3 linked regions of the Bombyx mori genome follow. The protein of the gene in region 2 interacts with the protein of the main gene of each other region in a pairwise test. Links are inferred from orthologs where the notes say so. Each region holds a gene or a part of one and is shown on either strand. Other genes may lie near its edges.

Region 1 (3,662 bases), on a different chromosome or scaffold from region 2:
CTCAATTCGACTGTTTTTTTTATGTGTTACCTCATAACTTTTGATTGTCAAGCCTCAGAAGGCTACGTCTGACACTCACAGAATACAGTCACTAAAGATCCTCTGATCTCCGAGCCTGGTCTGTTTAATTCCACAGGCTACTTCAAGAAGCAGGGTTTCAGTAAAGACATTAAGCTGCCGAGGGCGATGTACCAAGGATACATAAAGGACTACGAGGGAGCAACCCTCATGCACTGCGAATTGAACCCTAGAATAGTATACACACAGTTCACTTCGGTTATTAGGATGCAGAAAGAGGTACGTCGTTACTGATATTTGAAATTATTAATGTTGTTGTGGTGGGTAGCCATCATACAACGCAATTGATGCCTGAATGTCGCTTACGACATTTTCAAGATAAGCTCGCATATATACAAGTTCCGAACAACACTATATACGGACCGTCGGTCTACCGAGCAATATCACCCGCTCGGTGAAGGGTCTTCCCATTGTCGTTAAACATCCAAAATTGTACTAGGGAGGCCTTGTTCGTTTAAGTAGCGAAAAATGATAATACACTGCATTGCACGTAATGTATTACAAACAAAAAACAGCTGGTAAATGGACTCTGTTGTGACGGTGCCCCGCCGCGCGTCTGGCTACACGTTACATTGCTGCTTGGCGACAAAGCGACATTGGCTTAGTAAATGAATATAGTTAGCATTCCGACTACGCTCTGTTTTTTTATTTATTGCTTAGATGGGTGGACGAGCTCACAGTCCACCTGCCCCATAGACATCTACAACGTAAATGCGCCACCCACCTTGAGATATAGGTTCTAAGGTCTCATGTATAGTTACAACGGCTGCCCCACCTTCAAACCGAAACGCATTACTGCTTCACGGCGGAAATAGTTTACACTTGATACCACTAACATCTGAGAATTTTAAGAAACTTAAGCTGTGTAACTTTCTTTATATACTTATAAAATATAAAAAAAAAAAACTTATAGGTATTAAGTATTTGTGTTAGGTAGGTATAGGTATCATGTATTAAGTATTTGTGTAATTAGTCCTGTGTATATCAAATAGAATCTGAAACAATAAAAATACTTTCATTTCAGATCGTAAAGAAACTTATAGATATGCGACAGAAGGAAGTTAGAAAAATTTATCCCGGCCTCACTTGCTTCAAGGAAGGTGTATGTATACATATAGACATTTCTTTAAAATTAGATTGTAGTGTTATTAATTAGAGTAATTACACTCCTTTTCCTTAAAAAGGATTACTAAGTGCGGCTTATATTAAAACAGATGCACAGTGAACTGACATGTTACCCAATACATGTGCTTAAGTTTATAATTTACTAAATAAAATAATAAGGCATAACATAGATATTGTTATGCCGGTAATAGTAACGCCATCTATGGCTGAAAAGCAGAAACGAATATCAAATGAACTAGTAACGTCCATAACGCTCGAGGAGTACAACGCCATCTATTGTCAAATGGCGGAAACGCATATGTAAAATTCTCGACTTGTGAGGGATATTCTCAATAATTCTAGGGGTGTCGTATCGACTATAAAAGCGTTGCAGAGATAACACGGAGTCAGGTAGTAATCGGAACTATTTTAAAGTAATAAAAGAAAATAAAAAAAAACGTAAACCTATTGAATTGTTTGACATACTTATTCAGAAAGTGCATTTACGTTACTCTCGACTCATAGACTGACTGAAGTGGATCGATTGACGAACTGCTGTTTCAAAGAATGCTAGGGGTTAGGGGTTTGCTTATGTGAGGTGAAGCTGAGGAGTGCGAAAGGGAGTGGGGATTCCACTTCGGATCCTCGGCCCAGAGGCCGGGGAGGACGGCACGAGCGCGATTCCCCGATCCGGTTCACCTATCTAAGTAATAAAAAAAAATCGATCAATAGAATCTTTACTGGTGGTAGGACCTCTTGAGAGTCCGCGCGGGTAGGTACCACCACCCCGCCTATTTCTGCTGTGAAGCAGTAATGCGCTTCGGTTTGAAGGGTGGGGCAGCTGTTGTAACTATACTTGAGACCTTAGAACTTATATCTCAAGGTGGGTGGCGCATTTACTTTGTAGTTGTCTATGGACTCTGGTAACCACTTAACACCAGGTGGTCTGTGAGCTCAACCACTAAGAATTTAGTTTCGTCGTGTATTGTTCTAGGTCCGCAGCCTCCCCCCGGAGTGCATCCCCGGGGCGCGCGAGGCAGGGTGGCGCGCCCCCCCGCCCCCGCACGACCCCGACCCCGACCCCGTCACCCTGCGGAACGTGCTGCACGCAGTCAGTATATGCACGTCACTATAGACACCACCACCGTGGACATCACGAGGCGGAAATAATACTCGTCCCAAAAAAATAGACTCTTCATTTAAAAATCTGTATATAAATAGGCAAAGACATAACAGTCAATCGCCTTATTCTTCTTTAACCCTTTGACTGCCATGTTTGTCGATTTCTGTTACTAAGGCGCCGGAATCGAAAGCGAATCTGAAGATACTGAGAATGAATCTTATTTCTAAGAGACTTAAGAGAACTAAAACATACATTAACAAACAAAAGAAGGCAAAGTTAGGCAATCTCCAGGTGCTTAGTAACAGATATTGACTTAAGTACTTCAGTGCGAAGGGTTAATAGTACTGACGTATTTTCCGACTTTAAAAAAACGAAGAGTTTCTCAATTCGACTGTATTCTTTTTGTATGCGTTACCTTATTTCTTAGTAACTATTGGCGAGATATAAGGTTATAATTTTAAAACGAAAGAAAATGTAATGATCGTTAATGTAATCTAAGTCTGAGGTATCAAGGCCTAAGGTTGAATTTCGATTGATTGTCAATAACGTTTTAGGTAAAGAACCACGCGACGGCCTGGCCGTTCCTGAAGCCGGTCGACAAGGCGGAGGTGCCGGACTACTACGATCACATCAAGTATCCGATGGGTGAGTCTATCTTTTTTTAGTGCTCTTATAGGCAGACTAGCTGTACCCGTCCGCTTCGCTGGGCATTTAAAATTAACATTATTATTTCTCACCCCCACAAACATTCTCATCATGAACGCCCCCGCAACTGGTGTAGGGAGTCCAACACTCATATAAATATTAGCCTATCCATTAAGTACATGTATTTTCTACATGGATACTAAGTTTTAAGTCGATCGGATGCATGGTTCAGTAGTTATAACGGAACATCCATAAAAACTACTGTAGATTTATATATTGTATGTGTGTGAGTATGTGTTTATCTTTGTGTTGCAAGACTTGCGCACGATGGGGGAACGTCTCAAAGCGCGCTACTACGTGTCCAAGCGGCTGTTCATAGCGGACATGACCCGGATATTCAACAACTGCAGACTCTACAACTCGCCCGACACCGACTACTACAGGTGCGATGAACTTTAATACTTATGTACCATTGCTGAAGTCCATGGGCGACGGTAACCACTCACCATCAGGCGGGCCGTATGCTCCTCTGCTTACAAGGGCAATAAAAATAAACTAGTAACCGCGAGGGGTTAAGGGCTAGCTTCACCAAACTTGTAGCCGATGGGCTCAGCCTAGGACACTTTGCTAACATTGGCCCTAGCAAGACCAATGCTTCGCAGAATCTACCACCAGATCGGAAACACGACCCACTGAGAAGATCCGGCGAGGA
Region 2 (3,762 bases):
TATCACAGATTAATATGCAGTATTATAAGAGAGCTGCTTTTAAACTAGAAATTAACGAATTTCATTGGAATTATCACTATTTGTAAGACTAGTAACAGTTTCCTGGTTCAAATTTAGCTTAGGTCTATATTTTACGTCTATGGTTGCCTGGTAAGTTCGACTATTAATTTGCAAATTATACTGTACATCGTGAATTTTAATATCACCGTCCTTTTCTATACTTGCGTTAGGAAGAGATATTGTAGTAAAAATACGTCTTATCAGACATTCGACAGGAATGATGCGTCTTAGCTTAACGTTAAAAATCTTTTTCACACAGTAATACGGTTTTCTAAATGAGAGCATTAAATTACAAACAAAACAGGATTTTGATTTTGTCGAACTGTCTGTAAACTGTAACTGTAAAAACTGTCTCACACTTCAAACTAGAATGCATGATGGTTTCATGGAAGAAATACACTAATATAAGCCTCTTGTCGATCGCAAGACCTATATTGGTTTATTATTTCTGTGCATCGTTCATTGTTCAGTTTTCTTAGTTGTATTTTGTGACAACAACGGGAAGCGATAGGGTAGTTTTTTTTTCTACCTAAGCCGATAGCCTTGAGAGGCTATGTCAGTCAAACCTAACAAGTAGGTGAGCTCACGGGGCTCAAACCTGACGATTTTGCTAACACTAACCCTAGCAAGAGCAGTGCTTCGCAGAATCTACTACCGGATCGGAAACGCGACCCACTGTGAAGATCCGGCGAGAAACTCGGTGAACTGTGTCTGTGGGTTAATTTTCTCGCCGATGACCGGATAGGGTAGTGTTACTCCAATCTTGCGCTACCAAATTAATTTTCAAATACATAGTAGATTCAAATCTATTCAACATGTTAGAATGCGTAGTTAAGTTTTAGGAAATAAAATATTTTACAAAATATGTTTTATTACTCTGGTAACTCAAAATGTTTGGGAATAAAAAACGTAAAATGGCTTTGGAAATTTGTGCGCTAATCTGAAGCCTGCCAACGTACAAGTTTAAAGTTTGTTTTCACTGTAATAAAAATCATGTCATTTTCAGATCTTTACGCTAAATATAATTGTACATATTGTCAAGAGGAAATAAACGGCGTAAGAGTTAAATGTACTGAATGTGTTGATTTTGATATTTGTTTGCAGGTAAAGTAGTTGATACTGCCATTTTTGTTGATAGTTTTGGCGCAAAATTTAAAATTGTCACTTAGAAATTAATATGCAATAAAATGCATTTTCAGTGTTTTTCTCTTGGTGCTGAAATCGGACAGCACAAAAACGATCATTCATATCAGTTTGTGGTAAGCACTTTATAAACGACTACTGTAATACTATTACAGAAAGTAAATAGATTTTCAAGAGTGTTCTATTTTTCCAGGACTCTGGGGCTTTTGGAATATTTTTAGGACGTAGTAGCTGGTCAGCTAACGAAGAAGTAAGATTATTAGATGCCATAGAACAATTCGGCTTTGGTAACTGGGAGGATATAGCAAAACATATTGAAACAAGAACTCCTGAAGGTAATTTAATGATATAAGCTACTCAGTAATCTGCTGTCTTAGCACTGTGCTTCGGTTCATTTTTCAACATTGGCATCAAACAGCATACATTGCATGCCTTGGCAAAGAATACCTAGTATATGCATACTATTATTTGTAACTTTTTATCTAAATGCAATAACAATTTTCAAAAATAGCTTCTGCAACGAAAAAACATTGTTGAATAAAATATGGTGAATATTTCGAATTTCAATTTTTTTTAAAGCTTCAGCTTTTATATTTGGGTAGACGTGCTTACCGTCTACCTGTTGTTGTTAGGTGGTTACGGGATTCAAGAGATTTCAACTACGTAAATGTTACTAGCCACCTTTAGGCATGATTACTAAGTCTCAGTTTTATAATATCGAGGGGTGAAATGCTATTTGGTATAACGTACATTACCTTAGTAATTAAAGGTATACTTGGTATCAACAGTTCGATGTTTTTAGTTGAATTTCAATTTACGTTTACTCCATTCAAATAGCTGAAGACGTTTTTTGGTTATGATATTTTTTCCAATTTTTAAGCTTTGAATGGCCTTCCTGTAAAGTTGTCAAAAATGTCATTTAAACCGAATAGCCTTTTACTCCCTTGATATAGTAACTTTGCATATTTAATGGTGACAGCATGGTCACAACCATTCAATAATGTATATAAACTCACCACATGCAATGTTAAGACAGGATTTTTTCATGGGCTATGGAAGCTCAAAATATATATTAAACAAGAATAAGAAATATATATTAAACATTTACATTAAATAAATTTTGTTGGGATTAAATTTACATGATGCATATCCTTTATTTTCACAAGTAAAAAAGAATAATTTGGAAATAAATCATCCCATAAGTTCAAATCAACGATTTAACACCAGTACTAAAAATAATAAATAGGGTGAGAAGTAATTATTTAAATCTGTTGAGAATACTTCTAAAAATTGACACCGCAAAAGGACTGACCATGTCAATCTCAGATTCTTTAAGACCTCTGCACTCTTCTAAACTCCTTCCTAAACCTGTAACAGCGATGGAAGCATTGTAAACAAATATACTGAACTGCGACTATAGGTAGAGCAAAGGAGGTTCTGCTTCACATGGTGGCAGTGGTACAGTAGTGCTGAACTTTAGAAAGATTACCAAAGAATTATCATACTATATATAAATTTATTAATTAAATATAATAATAAAAATAAATAATAATCATAATCATCGTTCTTTCCTATTACCCTCTGCTGGGGTGTAGGGCTCGAATCAAATCCTTTCATTTACATCATTGTTATAAGAAAGACAAATAAATAATAATAACAAATAAACATAAATTTCAATTACAGAAGCAAAAGATGAATACATTACTAGGTACCTGGAAGGCACCATAGGCAAAGCAACATGGGGCAATATTGAAAGTACATCTCGCCCATCACTACATTGTGCAGATAAAGATGATGGCCCACTTGGTCCAACTGCAGTGTCTCGACTACCAAACCTAGCTATAACAGTAGACGAAGCAGCACAACTTGGGTATATGCCAAATAGAGATGATTTTGAAAGAGTAAGAATGAATTTTTTGTACTATTTACTATAATAAATTAAAATATTGTTCTACAAAGTGTCGAAATTTCAGGAACATGATCATGAGGCAGAGCAGTTGATCTCAACATTATCATTAAATCCAGAAGATGATGAATTAGATGTTGGTAGGTTATATATAGATATATATTCAATAGATAAGTGGTTTTTGGTTGATAAAATATGTGGTTTTTAATATAATAATATCCTTTTAAAAAAATCATAATAATGACTGATAGACTGCCGACCTTGAGCTTGAAATTTACATATGAATTATTCACTCTGAGACGTCTCTTATTTGATACATATTATGAACAGGCTAGACTAAAAGCTTTATAAGATCTGTATATCTATTTTATGATTTTAAAACGTCTCATAGCTTAGTTAAATACATATAAGATATATATAATAAATAAAAAATGACATATCCCGTTTTTTTTATTTTTTATAGCACTAAAGCTATCACAAGTTGATATATACATCAGAAGACTGAGAGAGAGAACGAGACGAAAAAGATTAGTTAGAGATTTCCAGTTAGTGTCTGTCTTCTTCAACAATCAGAGGAATAAACAGAAGACCCTAGGAAAACTTGCCAAAGAAAAAAAGTATGTACCAATAATATTTTTGAAGTATTTCAAATG
Region 3 (3,245 bases), on a different chromosome or scaffold from region 2:
TAGGTATATAGGTACTAATCTGACAATCTGTTGACTGACAAATGACAAGTGGCAACATTGACTTTATGTAGGTAAAACTGGACTTTTTGGCGGGAACGCGAGGAGTGAAGTTGTGTGATTTGTTTTATTTTGTCTATTTAGTGTTTCTTCAGGTTTAAATGTGTAATAACGGTGGTTTATTAACTGTTTAATATCTGTGAAAGTGCACAAATGTGGGAAAAAGAAACAAAGCCGCTGGACGTAACTTCTCGGGATCCTCCACAAAGTCCACTGAAAAAATCTTAGTAAATGACCACCATTTTACTGAGATTATATTTCATCCCATATCATCTCATCTCATTTCATTTAATTTCATCCCAGTTGATTAATGTCTCAAATTAATCATTTTCATTTCATTTCACCCCATATTATCATTTTTCATAAAAATATGAATATAAATTAAAATAAGACATGACTTAAAGGTCTTAGTTACCAGGTCGTAAAATCACTTAAAAAAAAAGTAGGTAAAACTTCTGACTTTTTGGCGGGAACGCGAGGAATGAAGTTGTGTGATTTGTTTTATTTTGTCTATTTAGTGTTTCTTCAGGTTTAAATGTGTAATAACGGTGGTTTATTAACTGTTTAATATCTGTGAAAGTGCACAAATGTGGGAAAAAGAAACAAAGCCGCTGGACGTAACTTCTCGGGATCCTCCACAAAGTCCACTGAAAAAATCTTAGTAAATGACCACCATTTTACTGAGATTATATTTCATCCCATATCATCTCATCTCATTTCATTTAATTTCATCCCAGTTGATTAATGTCTCAAATTAATCATATTCATTTCATTTCACTCCATAATATCATTTTTCATAAAAATATGAATATAATTTAAAATCAGAAATGACTTAAAGGTCTTAGTTACCAGGTCATAAAATCCCTTAAAAAAAAGGTAAAGCTTCTGTGTTAAAAACGGTATCAAATAAAAAATAAGTTTTATTTTCTGAACGCCATTTTGTTCTGTGATTTCGGCATTTGTTTTGCTGTACTAGAGAAACTTTAAGAATTACGCTTTTGTCTTAAAAAATCAACACAAGTTGAGTCATAGACGTGATATTAACGTTAAGTACTTTAAAGTCTAACATTTTAAAGTGATTCCAAGATTTCAGTGCAATAAATAATGTAGATTAGCGTAGAATATTGGGCTTGTGTTATTTATTTTGGCGGGTAAATTATATTGAATCGAGATGCTGGGTAAGAGGATGCATCATAATAGCAAAGGCAGACTAGCTAACAAAGACAATGGAAAGCCATCAAGCCCTGGAATTACACCATACACTAAACCAACAAAGATTCCAGGTTCTGTTTCTACTGCCAAAATCAAAGTTGAGACATGCCCAATTCCATACATTAAAATACAAGATAATGCAGTGCTTTTGCCACGATTTACTGCGGTTGCAGCGAGATCTGCTGATGAACCTATTGGGATGGATGAGCTGGATGGGTTACAGTTGGAATTAGAGTCATTGCTATGTAATACTGCCCTACGATGCAGATATTTTCAATCTGAAATAGAAAGCATAGATTCGAATGAATCTAAAAGAGAAAAAAAAGGCAAAGCAGCCGGTAAACAGCTACAGTATCCTGTAAAAAGAAAATTTCAAGATGACAAAGTGGTTAAAACTAAAGACTACACAAAATTATCCAATCAGCCAAAAGTGCCTAAATTTAAAAATTTCTCAAACGCTTCCTCAGGATCTCATACCTACTCTAATGATTTAGTGAATTCAGACAACTCTGTAAAACTTGAACTTTCACAATTAGCACTGCCTAAAAATAATATCCCATATAAATTTTGGAATTCAGTAGAGCCTTATTGTGCTCCTGTAACATTGGATGATATAAAATTTTTAGAGTCCTTATTAGCTCAAAGCAGTAACACCACACTACCTCCGATCCCTCCATTAGGAAAGCATTACTCAGAAGTTTGGGCAGATGAACATCTTGCTGAAGATCAAAATGCATCTAATCCTAATAAGCAAAAATCATCTATGTCTCCAGATGCATCTCATGCTCGTAAGAAGCTAGAAAAGTCATCAGAAAGCATGATAACTGGACCTTTGACACAAAGATTAGTCTCTGCTCTTATGGAAGAGAATGTGATGTCTTATGAAATACCTGATATTAAAGTAAAAATGGTCTCCACCACTAAAAGTGGCTACAAGAATTCATTAACATTAGAAAAGTGTTTGAGGAAGGAATTGGTTGAACAAGGAATACTTGATCCAGAGGATTTACCACCTCTCACTAATCCAGCTGATGATGAAATACTAGCAGAGATTAAAAAATGTCAAACAGAATTAACAGCTGTACGTAAAGAGAATTGTCGAAATCTTAAAAATTTAATTGGTTTGTGTAAACAAGAAATGATTAGACTGAATCTGAAAAAGCAACTGGATCAAGTGGATCTAGAATGTATTGATATTTATAAAAAGATGGTAGCGGCTAAACAAAAGAAGCGCCCTGTTACTAAGAAGGAAAAAGAAGATGCTTGGAAAGCAATAAATGAACAAATAAGGCTAAACAAAGAAATCAATGCTTTGCCACAAACGGGTCCAAATTCAAATTAGATATTAGTGTTCGGCATGATACAAAAATAACATGTGGTAATTATTCTAGGAGTATCTGTTGAATTAAATATGGAAAAATACTTGTTTTATTACTGTGACTACTAACTACTTATTTGGCAAATTTGACCTTGGCCTTGGATTATGGCCTTGACTTTTTAAAGGATAAGATGTTTAGTGCATTTTTATCTAGTGATGCAACAATGTTTGAATCCCGCAGGTGGGTACCAATTATTCTAATGAAATATGTATTTAACAAATGTTCACAATAGACTTCCACCGTGTAGGGACTTCTCATCATGTAAAAAAAATCAAACCTGCAAGTTTATAATTTGCACAATTACTCTGGTGGTAAGATGTCTTGTGAATCTGCACAGAACAGAACTAATGAATGCTAATGCAAATTTTTTATTTACTGCAGATTTTGTATTACCTCATTTTATTTTGTTATATACGAGTCGTCTATTATCAAAGGTGGCAATCTGTGCATTTGGACAAAAAAATGTTATTGGTATGTCAATACAGATTGATTTGAATATAATCGTCTCCTTCAAAGAATACGGTTCAAAACCTGCATTAAATAAAGGTTAATACTTAACCTGTTATTTATCTAAGATGTAGTTAAGAAGAGTTTTGT

Evidence for each region.
Region 1: the proteins of transcriptional adapter 2B (region 2) and histone acetyltransferase KAT2A interact in a two-hybrid assay, tested with the Drosophila melanogaster proteins (4 studies listed by BioGRID). The link is inferred for Bombyx mori from reciprocal best matches to the Drosophila melanogaster genes Ada2b and Gcn5.
Region 3: the proteins of transcriptional adapter 2B (region 2) and transcriptional adaptor 3 interact in a two-hybrid assay, tested with the Drosophila melanogaster proteins (4 studies listed by BioGRID). The link is inferred for Bombyx mori from reciprocal best matches to the Drosophila melanogaster genes Ada2b and Ada3.

What each region holds. Positions count from the first base shown.
Region 1 is NC_085120.1:4,776,962-4,780,623, reverse strand, and holds part of histone acetyltransferase KAT2A, read left to right. Parts: intron 1-136; coding exon 137-297; intron 298-1,102; coding exon 1,103-1,180; intron 1,181-2,176; coding exon 2,177-2,293; intron 2,294-2,859; coding exon 2,860-2,950; intron 2,951-3,266; coding exon 3,267-3,393; intron 3,394-3,662.
Region 2 is NC_085131.1:6,658,766-6,662,527, reverse strand, and holds the start of transcriptional adapter 2B, read left to right. Parts: upstream 1-947; 5' UTR 948-1,053; coding exon 1,054-1,164; intron 1,165-1,259; coding exon 1,260-1,319; intron 1,320-1,396; coding exon 1,397-1,538; intron 1,539-2,275; exon of another isoform or gene 2,276-2,886; coding exon 2,887-3,104; exon of another isoform or gene 3,105-3,176; coding exon 3,177-3,249; exon of another isoform or gene 3,250-3,572; coding exon 3,573-3,726; exon of another isoform or gene 3,727-3,762. UniProt on the Drosophila melanogaster protein: Component of several Gcn5-containing histone acetyltransferase complexes that regulate nucleosome organization; involved in acetylation of histone H3, particularly on Lys-10 (H3K9ac) and Lys-15 (H3K14ac).
Region 3 is NC_085109.1:9,156,098-9,159,342, reverse strand, and holds transcriptional adaptor 3, read left to right. Parts: upstream 1-995; 5' UTR 996-1,228; coding exon 1,229-2,611; 3' UTR 2,612-2,691; downstream 2,692-3,245.